Linked DNA regions of Callithrix jacchus. The protein of the gene in region 3 purifies or fractionates together with the protein of the main gene of each other region. This does not show direct contact. Links are inferred from orthologs where the notes say so. Each region holds a gene or a part of one and is shown on either strand. Other genes may lie near its edges.

What was found.
Region 1: the proteins of SS18 (region 3) and ARID1A purify together in Homo sapiens (affinity purification with mass spectrometry; 7 studies listed by BioGRID and IntAct, counting the BioPlex papers as one, with this or other methods). This does not show direct contact. The link is inferred for Callithrix jacchus from reciprocal best matches to the Homo sapiens genes SS18 and ARID1A.
Region 2: the proteins of SS18 (region 3) and SMARCC2 purify together in Homo sapiens (affinity purification with mass spectrometry; 3 studies listed by BioGRID and IntAct, counting the BioPlex papers as one, with this or other methods). This does not show direct contact. The link is inferred for Callithrix jacchus from reciprocal best matches to the Homo sapiens genes SS18 and SMARCC2.

The regions. Positions count from the first base shown.
Region 1 is NC_133508.1:63,350,861-63,356,106, reverse strand, and holds the start of ARID1A (AT-rich interactive domain-containing protein 1A), read right to left. Parts: upstream 3,150-5,246; 5' UTR 2,776-3,149; coding exon 1,624-2,775; intron 784-1,623; exon of another isoform or gene 1-783. UniProt on the Homo sapiens protein: Involved in transcriptional activation and repression of select genes by chromatin remodeling (alteration of DNA-nucleosome topology).
Region 2 is NC_133510.1:63,498,580-63,502,573, forward strand, and holds part of SMARCC2 (SWI/SNF complex subunit SMARCC2), read left to right. Parts: intron 1-1,806; exon of another isoform or gene 1,807-2,777; coding exon 2,778-3,159; exon of another isoform or gene 3,160-3,432; coding exon 3,433-3,861; exon of another isoform or gene 3,862-3,994. UniProt on the Homo sapiens protein: Involved in transcriptional activation and repression of select genes by chromatin remodeling (alteration of DNA-nucleosome topology).
Region 3 is NC_133514.1:69,286,830-69,291,557, reverse strand, and holds part of SS18 (protein SSXT), read left to right. Parts: intron 1-2,277; coding exon 2,278-2,499; intron 2,500-4,728. UniProt on the Homo sapiens protein: Appears to function synergistically with RBM14 as a transcriptional coactivator. Isoform 1 and isoform 2 function in nuclear receptor coactivation. Isoform 1 and isoform 2 function in general transcriptional coactivation.

The DNA.
Region 1 (5,246 bases), on a different chromosome or scaffold from region 3:
AAAGGAATAAACTGCCAATCTCTATTTCAAAGCTCTAAAATGACTGATGACAAAACAGTAAACTAGCCTTTTTGTTATTCCAGGAAAACACAATTTCACCAAACCAAGCCTTTAGGAGAAAGTCCCTCAAGATCATGAAAGACACCAGCTTCCCTTTAAATTAAACCACCATCCCAAAGTTCAATTAACAAAAGAAAGTGTTAACAAGATTCAACATGTAAACAAAGAATGAGGCTAGCCTTCCTTAAAACGGAAGGCTTGAACCTAATATGAAATTCCTCAGAAAGCTCCCAGTTCTAAACACACACACACACACACACACACACACACACACATTTTCTCCCCCCCCATAAAGATTCCACATTTCCCACTCAATAAAAAACCCAGTAAAATCATTTCAATTCTGCAAAGCAAACAGTGTCAAAATTACTCAAGACAAATGCATCTTCAGAGCCATCAAAGAAGTCATTTATACCATCAGGAAAGTCACAAAACCAAAACAAACAGCAAACCCATTGTAGAGAAAAAACTCAGCTACTGTTCTGACAACACAGAATCCATTTCAGGCTGCATAAAACATAACAAGCAAAATAAATCCAAGGTATATGCAAAATGCCATTGCCTCCTCTTTTGTTTCGGGCACAATGTAACAAGGACAGGCTGTCTGAGACTCTGCTCCTGCTGATACAGTATTGCTACTTAAACCTCCCTCCTCAAGGTCACAGCCAATTTCAACTCTGGAATAAAAGGCAGATAGTGACAGCAATGGTTTGGGTTATCACTGGCAGAAAAGCAGAGTGTAAAAGTTTATGAGCTCATCAGGATTGTTGTACCATTACATCAGAGGCAATTATAAATGGCCAAGAGCAGGAGATGGGGAGCCAATCAGATCACAGATAGGATGTCAACCTAAGACCAACTGTCTCCTGGCTTTGACAGAAGGATTTTACCTCCATAATTCAAATCCCAAACCAAAGCAATCTGCACTTACTACTCCAATCACTCAGCTGTTTACCAGCACTTCCAGGGAGAAGCCCAGGCCACTGGGCCGGCGGAGCCTAAGACAGGAGATGGCCCGGGCTGCCCTAGGTGAACCGCAGCCGGCCTCTAGCAGCTCCCAAGCAGTCCCCTGCCCTCCCTCGAGGTCCCCCCGAGGTCTAGGGGCCCTCCTTGAAAGCACGGAGGCGGGGGGCGGCCCAGAGGAAGGCCGGGAGACGGAGAGGAGCGGCAGGTGAGCAAAGAAAAACGTTCACTCAACTCCTGGGCTCCTACCACTGCCTACACTTCTTACCTGAGCCCCCAGCACCCCCTCACCCCCGGCCAGGCCCTTCCCCGCACACTCTGCCCCGCATCCCCATGACGACCCCTGGAGTTCAAAGGAACCAGGGGAAAGGAAAAAGAGGAGCAGACATTTCTAGGAAAGCCCGACACAAAGCCTAAAGGAGGGAAGGAGAGGAAGGCAGACAGGCAGCCATTTTAAGAAAGAAGAGCCAGACAATGGCAGCTCCCCAGCAGTGGGGGCCCGGGACTGAGGGGAGCCCAAGGCTGTGGCCCGCTCACCGCAGCCACCACCCACCCCCAGGACCACGTTCGCCCCAGCCCCCTCCCCACTCAGCTGTGTACCTGAGGGGTCCGGGCGAGCGGCTGCCCCCCGCCGCCACTGCTCCCGGGGCTCATGGGCGCGTGGTGGCTCCTTTGTTGGGCCCCTCCCGAAGCGGCTGCCGCCGCCGCCGCTGCCGCCGCCGCAGCCCCCCAACACTGCGAGGCCATGTCCGCCGGGCCCTTGCCAGCGCCCCCGTCCTGGGGCCCGCCGCCGTAGTCGGCCCCGGGGTAGCCCTGGTAGCCCCGGGCAGAGCTGGGCGACGTGAGCAGTTGGTTGAGGGTGGGGGTGGCGGTGGGCTGAGGGGTTCCCCCGCCGGCCGCGGAGGGGCCGCCTCCCCCCATGGCCCCGAAGCGCTGCTGAGCGAAGGACGAAGACGACGAGGAGGCGGAGGCGCTGGAGGAGGGAGGCGGCTTGGAGCCGGCAGCCGCCGCCGCCGCGCCGGAGCCCGGAGTGCCACCTCTCGGGGAGCTCAGCGCGTAGGCCGGGGCGGGCGGGGGGTAGGCGCTGCGGTTGGGGTAGTAGGAGTTGTACTGGTGGTTGGGGAAGCCGTGGTCGTGCGAGTTCTGCTGGGGCCCCGCGTAGGGCTCCAGGCCCCCGCCGCCGCCGCTCTGCAGCGCTGCCAGGCCAGGGCTTTGTTGTCCGCCATGTTGTTGGTGGAAGACGGCGGCCGCGGCGGCGGCGACGGCAGACGGGCTCCGGCCGTAGGGTTGCCCGAAGCCGTAGGCTGGGGGCGGCAAGGCGGCCGCGGCTGAGTGAGGAGGCGCCCCCACCCCATCGCTGCTGCCGCCACCGCCGCCGCCGGGCGGCTCCGTGAGGTTATTGTTCAGGGCGGGCCTAGGGCCCGCGTTCCCGTTTGAGTTCTTCAGGTCCGGCTCCGCGCCGGGCCCGCCGCCGCTGCCGGCTCCGCCGCTGCCGCCACCCCCATTGCTCTCGGCCCCGTCCTGCAGCTCCTTTCCCAGCGGCTGCGGAGGCCCCACGGCGGGACCCTCGCTTTCCTGCCCGGCGGCTGCCTTCATTTCCCCGCGCTCGGCCGCTGCCGCCGCCGCCGCCTCGCCCCCCGCCTCCTCCCGCTGCTGCTGGTCGGCTTTCTTCAGCTCCGAGGGCGGCGGCGGCGGCGGCGGCGGCGGGTTGCCCAGGCTGCTGGCGGCGGCGGGGGCGACCTGCGCGGCCATGATCCCCGCTGTCTCGTCCGCGGAGAGACCCGGCCCTGTCTTCGTCTTCTCCCCCCCCCTCCCACCCCGCCCCGGGGCCGAGTCCCCCGGGCTGCCCTCCCCACCCGCCCGGGCGGGCCTCGCGGGGCTCCGCTGCTGCGCTGCGCTCGCTCCTCTCCCCCCCGCCCCGCCGGCTCAGGCTCCGGGCTGGCGGCGGCGGAGGAGGAGGAGGCGGCGGCGGCCGAGGCGCCGGCGGCTCAGCTGCTCCCGGCTCTGTAGGCTCGGGACCCGGCTCTCCTGGCTCATTCCCCCCAAGCCCTTGCCTGGGAATGAGGGGGGCGGTGGAGGCTCCGCTCCCCAGGGCCTGGCCCCGCTGTGACTCTCCGCTTTCTGCTGCCGGAGAAAGGAGGAGGGAGGGAGGGAGGGAGGCGAGGGGGGAGGGGGCGGGGAGGGACGGAGGGAGGGAGCGGGGGGAGGGGGACCCGGGACGGGCGGGCTGGAGGGCGCGCGGCAGCAGCCGGGGTGCCGAGTGCCAGAGTCGGAACGCGCGCCGGGCCGGGCGCCCAGCCTCCCCTCGCCAGCCGCAGCTCGAGCCGAGGCTGCTGCGCGGCAGCGGGCTAGCGAGCAAGCGGTCGGCCGGACTCAGCGGCTAGAGCGCCCCACTCTCCTCCGAGTCCCCCTCACTCCGACACGAGGCTCAGCACTGCCATTTTACCCAGCGCCGTCGCGGCCGCCTGGCAAACCCGGAGTGGAGAGCGGAGCCGGCGCAGGCCGTGGAACGGACTCGCTCCCTTCCCCTCACAAAGGAGGAGGGGAGAGAACGAGCAGCGGCGGCGGCAGGCCCTCAGCCGCTTTCGCTAGGCAGCGCCGCCGCCGAAGGCTTCGGAGAAAACCCGGCCCGGAGCCCGCGCCTCTGGAGCCTGCGTCGCCTCCCTCCCGGCGTCCCTATCCTGATCTGTCCCCTGCCGGCCGTACCGAAGGGAGCGGGCAGCGTGAACTTTACCCGCGGCTGCAAAATTGGCCAGAGCCCGAGACCGCGACCGCCTCGGCCCAGCCCTGACCCCCTGGCAACCGGCCCGTTCCGTTGGCTGCTGCTTAGCACCTCTACAGCACTTTTCAAAGCCTTCTACTGACCCCGCTAAAGACCCAGCTGAGTGAGCCCTGATTCTTACCCCTTTTGCAAGCCCAAAGGAATGACTGATCATTGTTTGGATGATTCGTTTCCCACTCGCCTGCCCTCATTCGCCGGTCCTCACAAGGCTCTGGGGGCTTGAGGTTCGGATTATCCCCATTTCACAGAATTGAAAGAGAGGGGAGGGAACTCCCTGTCACTTAAAGTCAGAGGGTAGAGGAGGGTGACTTTAAAAGAAGTGGAGTTACCAAAGCTGCCTTCGGTCTACTTGCCTTAAAAAAAATTGTGAGCACATTCAACAATGATACCAGAATATCAAAATGGATTTGAAGTCAAAACTGATCATCTCACCTCTGACTTAAAATGGAGGCCACTGAAGCTGTTTTAGGGGCACAGAACAGTCATCCAGCAGGAGAACCCAAACCCTGTTCTCACTCTCTTAAGATAACTTAGCCCACAATGACCAGTAGCCCTAGTCTCCAAAGACAGTACCTTGTAAGACTGAAAAGCCACAGAAGAGGCTCCAGGGACTGCAGGAACCTGAGTGTTCAAACAATTATCAGAAGAGAGATGCACAAAATGGAAACCATTTTCTCCTTAAAGAACAGGCACAGTCCAACAAGTCACTTAGAAAATGCATGCTTCTCAGATTTGTTTTCTATCCTGTAGTGTAAAGATAGTTTAAAGTTTACCATTACATTCTAAGAGACCCCGATTGAGTTGGGTATAAGGCCAGGTTTATCTGAACAGACCAAGGCATACACAGAAAGCTCCAGTGTTGTCCTGATCTACAGTCCCCACCAAATCCCAGGAGCAGCCTTTTCTTCCTCAGGCTGACTTGGAATGTTCTGACTTGACAGGCTACGAAAGCTAGAGGGGAGTCCAGCTCCCCTGCATTGGGAAAGGCCCAGGCCTGTGTTCCTAGACACCAGGATCTCTTTTCCCCCCTCAGATTTGTAAAGGGAGACTTCACTGCCACAGAACCATTGCCTTAGAATAGATTATGCAGGACCCCAGAGTGCTGGCCATGTCCCTGGTCACTACGAATAATTCCAAAGCCTGAAGTCATTTCTCCCCTCAAGAAACAGTGCATCCTACACCAAAAAGGCAGAACCTTCCTGTTAGTCTAAGAGTGGTGAGATAAAAAAAAAACTCCACAGCTTTATTCTCTTCCCCTCCCCCAGCCTCTAGCCAAGAACCAAACCAGCTTACCAAGAAGAGCCAACTGACTGGTATGGTATGGGCCAGTGCCCTCTTTTCACTCACAGTCCTCAGGGGCAACAACTCTCCCTAGTGCATTAGGTCCTAGAAACCAAATTATAGGCTGCCTCGTAGAGCTTGGCTATTTAATCAACTGCCT
Region 2 (3,994 bases), on a different chromosome or scaffold from region 3:
CTAAGGACTGAGGTCTCACAGAAGGTCAGCTCCATGAGGCAGAGAGACTCTGGTTGTTTTGATTGCTGCATCTCCAGGTCCTTGAACAGTGCTTGGCCCATAGTAGACTCAATAAACAGTTATTGAATGATTGAATGGGCTTAAGGGATGATGAGAGAGAGGGTAAGGCCCTCAGATCCAGGAGATGAACTTGGAAAGGGAATGGGATAGACACAGTGTTGAACTATTTTGTCTTTGGAGGACATAAAAAGAAATAAATGGGCCGGGCGCGATGGTTCACACCTGTAATCCCAGCACTTTGGGAGGCCAAGGCGGGTGGATCACGAGGTCAACAGATCGAGACCATCCTGGTCAACATGGTGAAACCCCATCTCTACTAAAAATACAAAAAATTATCTGGGCACGGTGACGCATGCCTGTAATCCCAGCTACTCAGGAGGCTGAGGCAGGAGAATTGCCTGAACCCAGGAGGTGGAGGTTGCAGTGAGCCAAGATCGTGCCATTGCACTCCAGCCTGGGTAACAAGAGTGAAACTCTACCTCAAAAAAAAAAAAAAAAAAAAAGAAAGAAAGAAATGATAGGGGCTGGGCACAGTGGCTCATATCTGTAATCCCAATACTTTGGTAGGCTGAGGTAGGAGGATTGCTTGAGCCCAGGAGTTCAAGATCAGTCTGGGCAACAAAGTGAGACCCTTGTCTCTACAATTTTTTTTTTTTTTTTGAGATGAAATTTCACTCTTGCTGCCCAGACTGGAATGCAATGGCACGGTCTTGGCTCACCACAACCTCTGCCTCCCAAGTTCAAGCAATTTTTCTACCTCAGCCTCCTGAGTAGCTGGGATCACGGACATGCACCTCCATGCCTGGCTAATTTTGTATTTTTAGTAGACGGGGTTTCTCCATGTTTGCCAGGCTGTTCTTGAACTCCTAGACTCAGGTGATTTGACTGCCTCTGGCTCCCAACGAGCTAGGATTTAAAATTTTTTTTTGAGACAGAGTCGCACTGTTTCACCCAGGCTGGAGTGCAGTGGTGCAATTATGGCTCACTGCAACCTCCACCTCCCAGGTTCAAGCGATTCTCCTGCTTCAGCCTCCCAGTAGCTGGGATTATAGGCGCCCACCACCATATCCAGCTAATTTTTGTTTGTTGGTTTGTTTTTTGAGACAGAGTCTCATTCTGTTGCCCACACTGGAGTGCAGCGGCACCATCTTGGCTCACTATAACCTCTGCCTCCTGGGTGGGATCAATTCTCTTGCCTCAGCCTCCTGAGTAGCTGAGATTACAGGTGTGCACCACCATGCTTGGCTAATTTTTGTATTTTTAGTAGAGACAGGGTTTCACCATGTTGGCCAGGCTGGTCTTTATCTCTTGACCTCAGGTGATCCACCTGCCTCAGCCTCCCAAAGTGCTGGGATTACAGGCATGAGCCACCACACCCAGTCCCCCCAAAAAACTTTTAAATTTTTTTTCTTTTTCTTTTTTTTTTAATTAAAGCCACCAGGAAGCTCACTGCAACACAGCATAGCTATTGTAGCCTGACTACCTCTCTAGATACCTCCTCTCTGGGCAGGCCATCTCTGAAACCAAAAAAATTTTTAAAGTAAACAAATTAGCTGGGCATGGTGGTGAGAGCCTGTGGTCCCAGCTACTCAGGAGGCTGAGATGAGAGGATCGTTTGAGCCCAGGAGGTCAAGGCTGCAGTGAGCCATGTTTGCACCATTGCACTCCAGCCTGGGTGACAGAGTGAGACCCTACCTCAAAAAAAAAAAAAAAAAGAAGAAGAAAACAAAACAGAAGATAGGGACCTCAGAGAACTTATAGTTTAATTGGAGACATCAAATGAATAAACAATATGGAGACATTAGAAACAGTTAAGAAGGTTTAAAGTATCTGCCAAATTCATATTAAGAGATTGCAGATCAAGTATCTAAGTCCTGAGATAATAGAATCAAGCTAAAGCTCAGAGGCGAGCGAATTGTTCTGGGATAGCTTCCTAAGAAAAGTGAGTTTTGGCCGGGTGTGGTGGCTCATGCCTGTAATCCAAGCACTCTGGAGGCCAAGGCGGGTGGATCACCTGAGGTCAGGAGTTCAAGACCAGCCTGACCAACATGGTGAAACCCCGTCTTAAAAACAAATGAAAAAAGGCCGGGCGCAGTGGCTCACCCCTGTAATCCCAGCACTTTGGGAGGCCAAGGCGGGTGGATCACAAGGTCAAGAGATCGAGACCATCCTGGTCAACATGGTGAAACCCCGTCTCTACTAAAAATACAAAAAAAATTAGCTGGGCATGATGGCATGTGCCTGTAATCCCAGCTACTCAGGAGGCTGAGGCAGGAGAATTGCCTGAACCCAGGAGGCAGAGGTTGCGGTGAGCCGAGATCGCGCCATTGCACTCCAGCCTGGGTAACAAAAGCAAAACTCCGTCTCAAAATAGTGAGTTTTTAGTGAATTTTGAAGAAAAGAACTTGAATTGATAAGAAGAACTGGAAGCATTTTCCAAATCAAGGCAATGGCAAGTTCAAAGCTTTGGAGCTGAAGTCAGCTAGGCCAGATAAAGTCAATAAGAAACCATGTGAGCACCCAGGAGACATAAAGGTCATGGGAATTTGCACGAAGTACAGTGGGGAGGGCAGAGGAAGTACAAGTGTAAGATGTAGATTTGGGGAACCTTCTGATTGAGAGGTGGGATCTTTCAGAAGACAACAAAGCAGGGTTCAAGGCATTTGCCTTTGGGCTCTGTTGAAAATTGGATAACAATACTCAATTGGCACTGGCAGCTGGAGTATCAGAGGCAGCAGCTCCTGGCCGACAGACAAGCCTTCCACATGGAGCAGCTGAAGTATGCGGAGATGAGGGCCCGGCAGCAGCACTTCCAACAGATGCATCAACAGCAGCAGCAGCCACCGCCAGCCCTACCCCCAGGCTCCCAGCCTATCCCCCCAACGGGGGCTGCTGGGCCACCCGCAGTCCATGGCTTGGCTGTGGCTCCAGCCTCTGTAGTCCCTGCTCCTGCTGGCAGTGGGGCCCCTCCAGGAAGCTTGGGCCCTTCTGAACAGATTGGGCAGGCAGGGTCAATTGCAGGGCCACAGCAGCAGCAACCAGCTGGAGCCCCCCAGCCTGGGGCAGTCCCACCAGGGGTTCCCCCCCCTGGACCCCATGGTAAGTGTTGTGTTCCAGAACTTTTGCTGGTTAGAGGGATCCAGGTGAATGTCCCAGTTCCCCTCAAAGTGAATACAAGATGCGTTTGTTAGGCCTCTAAACCAGCAGGGATCCCCCCCCAAACTCGAGAGCTCTGGAATTTTATTCACTTACTCTAATGTCAGTAAAAGGGAAGATAATGCCAAGGAATGGCTAGATTATCCTTGCTGTAAAAGTGAGTTGTTAAGCAAAATTTTATACCTAACTCTCTCCATCTCTCATCTTTGTTCTCAGGCCCCTCACCGTTCCCCAACCAACAAACTCCTCCCTCAATGATGCCAGGGGCAGTGCCAGGCAGCGGGCACCCAGGCGTGGCGGGTAATGCTCCTTTGGGTTTGCCTTTTGGCATGCCGCCTCCTCCTCCTCCTCCTGCTCCATCCATCATCCCATTTGGTAGTCTAGCTGACTCCATCAGTATTAACCTTCCCCCTCCTCCTAACCTGCATGGGCATCACCACCATCTCCCGTTCGCCCCGGGCACTCTCCCCCCACCTAACCTGCCTGTGTCCATGGCGAACCCTCTACATCCTAACCTGCCGGCGACCACCACCATGCCATCTTCCTTGCCTCTCGGGCCGGGGCTCGGATCCGCCGCAGCCCAAAGCCCTGCCATTGTGGCAGCTGTTCAGGGCAACCTCCTGCCCAGTGCCAGCCCACTGCCAGGTGAGAAGGGGCCAGGAGGGGAGAAGGGTGAGGGAGCGGGATCCACATGGAGGGAGGGCGAGTGGGCAGGTGGGAAAGAGGTCAGGTAGTAGAGTTTCCACACTCTGGAAAAATTAGAATATAGGAGGAAGGG
Region 3 (4,728 bases):
GCTTGAACCCGGGAGGTGTAGGTCACAGTAAACCGGGATCATGCCTTTGCACTCCAGCCTGGGCAGCAAGAGCGAAACTCTGTCTCAAAAAAGATATATTTTCTCTTTGTAAAATAATCCATGTATATTACCTTTTTCTTTTTTTTTTTTTTTTGCTCATCAGCCCCTTGATACTACATTTCTATTACCTTTTTTCCCCCCTTATTCTTTAAAAAAAATACAAAGGATAGCACTCATTAAATAGTATTATGTGTCTTCTTTCTCTCTTAAAGATCTGTCTTGGATACCATTATTTTATTCTGTATGTAAATAGATACCTTATTCTTTTTGGTCTCTGTGTCACGTTCTGTTTTACAACTTTATTTGAACATTTATGGTGGAAATATAGGCTTCTAGTCTTTTGTTATTGTGAATTATACTGCCATGAATTTGCCTGTAAAAATATATATATGTGCATATATATATATTTTGTGTGTGTCAGTATACACGCACACAAAAACTTGTATATCTATAGCATAAATTTCTGGAACTGTAATTGCTGGGTTAAAGGTATATGTATTTTTTAGATTTGATAGTTAGTGACAAATTGCTTTGTATAAAAATAGTAATATCCATCACTTCTGCATTTATGAATTTCGCATCCATGGATTGAAAATATTTGGAAAAACAAAACTGTACTGAACATGTACATACTTTTTTTGGTCATAATTCCTTAGTACAGTGTAACAACTATTTACATAGCATTTATATTATGTTAGGTAGTACATACAATGTAGGGATTTAAAGTAAATGAGAGGATGTACATAAGTTATATGGAAATACTGTTACCATTTTATGTCAGGGACATGAGCATTTATGGATCTTGGAATCTGTAGATGGTTCTGGAACCAGCCTCCTACAGATATTGAGGGACAACTACTTCCTTTGAATTGTTGTTTGTCTCTCTTAAGCTTGATCCCACCCTTGATTTCATAAGCTTGATTCCCCACGGAATATAAGTAAGATTTATATTCCTTTAACAATGGACAAAAGTGCTTCTTTCTTCATAATACAGTTAGATTAAACTTGATTTTTGAGAATCTGAAAGGTGAACGCTGGGTCTCATAGTTTTAATTTGCCTTCTTATTTTAAGTGAAGCAATCAATCTTTTAGTATTGATGAACCTTTTTGTAGTTTTTCTGTGAACTAGTCATTCCCTCATTATGTCCTTTGCCCATTGTTTTACTGGTGGTGGTGTTTTACTTACTTCATATGTTAAGTAATTAATTTGGTCTGTGATATGTCTTATAAATAATATTTTCTTACTTACCTTTTTATTATTTTTGAGTTTCGTGTCATGTGCAAATTTTTAAACTTTATATAGTGTAATTTTTCAGTGTTTTATAGCTCTGGGTTTTCTGGCCTGCTTAAGAAGGTCCCTCCATTATTATTTTAAAAATTCTCCTTTTTGAAATTCTTTTATGGATTAAGTTTTCTGTTCATCTAGAATTAGTTAGTGGAAGAAGTAAGGCAGTGATCCAACTTGTTTTTTTTTTCCAAATGGCTCCCAAGTTGTCACAACACCATTTACTGAATTAGTTTTCTATTGCTCACTGATACTTATTAGTTACTCAGCCATGTATTTGGGTCTGTTTTTAGACTCTGTTCTAGTCATTCAGTCTGTTAATCTATTCATTATGTTCACAGGTTTTTTTTTTTTCAGACAGAGTCTTGCTTGTTGCCCAGGCTGAAGTGCAGTGGCGCGATCTTGGCTCACTGCAACCTCCGCCTCCCAGGTTCAAGTGATTCTCCTGCCTCAGCCTCCCAAATAGCTGGGATTATAGGCACCCGCCACCACACCTGGCTAACTTTTGTATTTTTAGTAGAGATGGGGTTTCACCATCTTGGCCAGGCTGGTCTTGAACTCATGGCCTTGTGATCCACTTGCCTTAGCCTCCAAAGTGCTGGGATTCCAGGCGTGAGCCACTGCGCCCCGCCTGTGTTCACAGTTAATTACTCCAACCTTATGATATGTTTTGCTGTATTTTAAAGAAGCTAGTCCTCCCTTCATTTTCAGAGTGTTCATGACGTTTCAAAAACATTCGTTTATTAATCTGTAAAATGGGAATACTCTCAGTATTTACTGTCATTCCTATAAACCATTTACTTTGCTACTGATTAACTCTTGTTTGGTATTACTATAATAATGCAAAAAAAAAAAAAATACCCTTTCCAGGTACTTTGTATGGACCATCTATTTAATTTTCATATTTTGCTTCTGATCATTTTTCTTCAAAGGGCCTAACCATATGCCTATGCAGGGACCTGGACCCAATCAACTCAATATGACAAACAGTTCCATGAATATGCCTTCAAGTAGCCATGGATCCATGGGAGGTTACAACCATTCCGTGTCATCATCACAGAGCATGCCAGTACAGAATCAGATGACAATGAGTCAAGGGCAACCAATGGGGAACTATGGTCCCAGACCAAATATGAATATGCAGCCAAACCAAGGTAACTAAGCTTTATGTCCTTCTTGACTAGAGTACTATATTGGCCTTTGAAAGTAAAATGATTATCAGGTTCTTAGCTGATTCATAAAAGTATAAGTTTAAAATGAGGGACAGCCATGCCCAGAAAAATGGAATGTTGAGTTTGAAACTAGTTTAAATCTTTTTTTATATGTATGAATTAAATTGCTCAATTTAGCTTTTTAAGCTTATTTATTTTTATGTCTTTTGAACAGTTTATTTGAGGTTCTGTGTTGTTGAGAATTGTTTTTTAAAGCTGATCAGTGAAGAACCAAACATTTGGTTTAGAGCTAGAAAGTTGAGAAAATAAATACCTGCCTTACAGTTTAAATGATGTATTAATTTATATGAACTTCCCTTGATTTATATGGATGTTTTCTGATGCTATGTTTTAGCATTAAAAGGTAATTCTAAAATAATTTGCTATTAGAATGTTCAGTGGGGTGCTGCTGTACTACTCTTAGAATGGCATAAGTCCATTAAAGTTTATTACCAATCTCAGAATGAAATTGTGCTATGTTTCTAAGTATTCTGTGAATAATAACTAAAAGCCAGTAAGTGGCACTCTGTTCTGTAAATTGTCTGTTAAAACATTTGGCATATTTCCAGCTTAACGTTATTTTAGTTACAAAATATGGTAATTCTGTCTTACGGTTAAGACTGTAAGATAGAGTTAAATGTATTTGGAATAAAATTTTCTAGATTTTGATTATTAAAAAGCACTAAAATGTACCCAGATAAAAGAATTTAATGTTAATTTGTTGATAATTCCTTATGATGAAGTCATAGAATTTAAAAATATACAGATTTTAAAAATAATTTCAGTGAGATATACTGAAAACAAAAGGAGATAATAGAAAAAGTTGTCAACATTGTAGCTTCACAAATGGCACTTGTAACATTTTTTACCCCCAAAGTTACTTAATGCCTATGGTGGAATTATTTTTTTGTTTTTATTAGGTCAATTAAGAGTCCATACAACAGCAAGATCCAGTCAGTGCTAGATCAAAAGGGAGTTAAGGTGTTTCTCTATACAGTTTGGTTACCAGGAGAGAGAACAGGAAAATTCATGATTCTGGCAGCAACTCCAGTAATGATGGCACACTTCTTAGAAACTTGTGGTTAAGAAAAGGTATGGTGTGCACAAAAAAAAAAAAAATGAGTGTTGCTGGAGCAGGGTTTGACATGACATATTAAGATTTGAAGAAGAAAAAAAGCTAATGCATGCAGCAGTGTTGTATATTGACTTTTTGGAGAAAAGTACTGAGGCGTTTATAGAAATTTTTTGTTCTTAGGGACCAACTTTAACTTATAAAAATGTCATATTTTGTAAGAATGTGTAGCTCTTCCTTTTACTGTAGTACATTAGTTATATCACTTTTTTGCCTTGTTCTCGTCGTTTATAAATTTCTTGTTTTTTATTTTTATTTTTTGTATTTTGTTGAAAGAATAGAAACAATGTCTCCATCTGTTGCCCAGGCTGGTCTTGAATGCCTGCTTAAGTGATCACCTGCCTTGTCCTCCCAGTGTCCTGGGATTAGAGGCGTGAGCCATTGCACCTGGTCAGTTTATGAATTTCATAATAGAAAATAGACTATACAAAAATGACCAGGTATTAAATCTGAAGAAATAAAAGACAATTTTCAAAAAGAAAATATGGTGTAAATCATTGAGGAAATTTTCATTGTTTTAAAAAATCTCTTTAGGACAAATAAAAATCTTCATCAAAATTTTGGTATTTCAGAGTCAAAAGAACACAAAAGTAGAGTACAGTTTCCAAAAAAGAAAGTTATACTGTGTTCTGGCAGCTTGTACTTTTTTAATCATATGAATTTCTTCTTAAAAGCATTTTAATTATATGTTATCTTTGAGTAAATACATTATCCATGATGAGTTTTATTAATGAAGTTTTTTTTTTACTAGATACTAGAGGATTATTTAAGAGTTTTGTTAATGAAGTTTTAATATTCATTTCACTATAAAACATTTTCTTAGCTTTTATAAAAATAAGCTGCATACTTTACATTAAAGATTTTTCTGTTTATTATTTATTTTTGTTTGTTTTAATTCAGCAACTAAGCTAGTATTATTCCAGAATGTTTTTCTCTGTGCTCTCTTAGAGGGTCCATTGCTTCTAGGTGAAGCACGATTTTTTTTTTTTTTTTTAGATGGAGTGTCACTCTGTCACCCAGGCTGGAATGCAGTTGTGTGA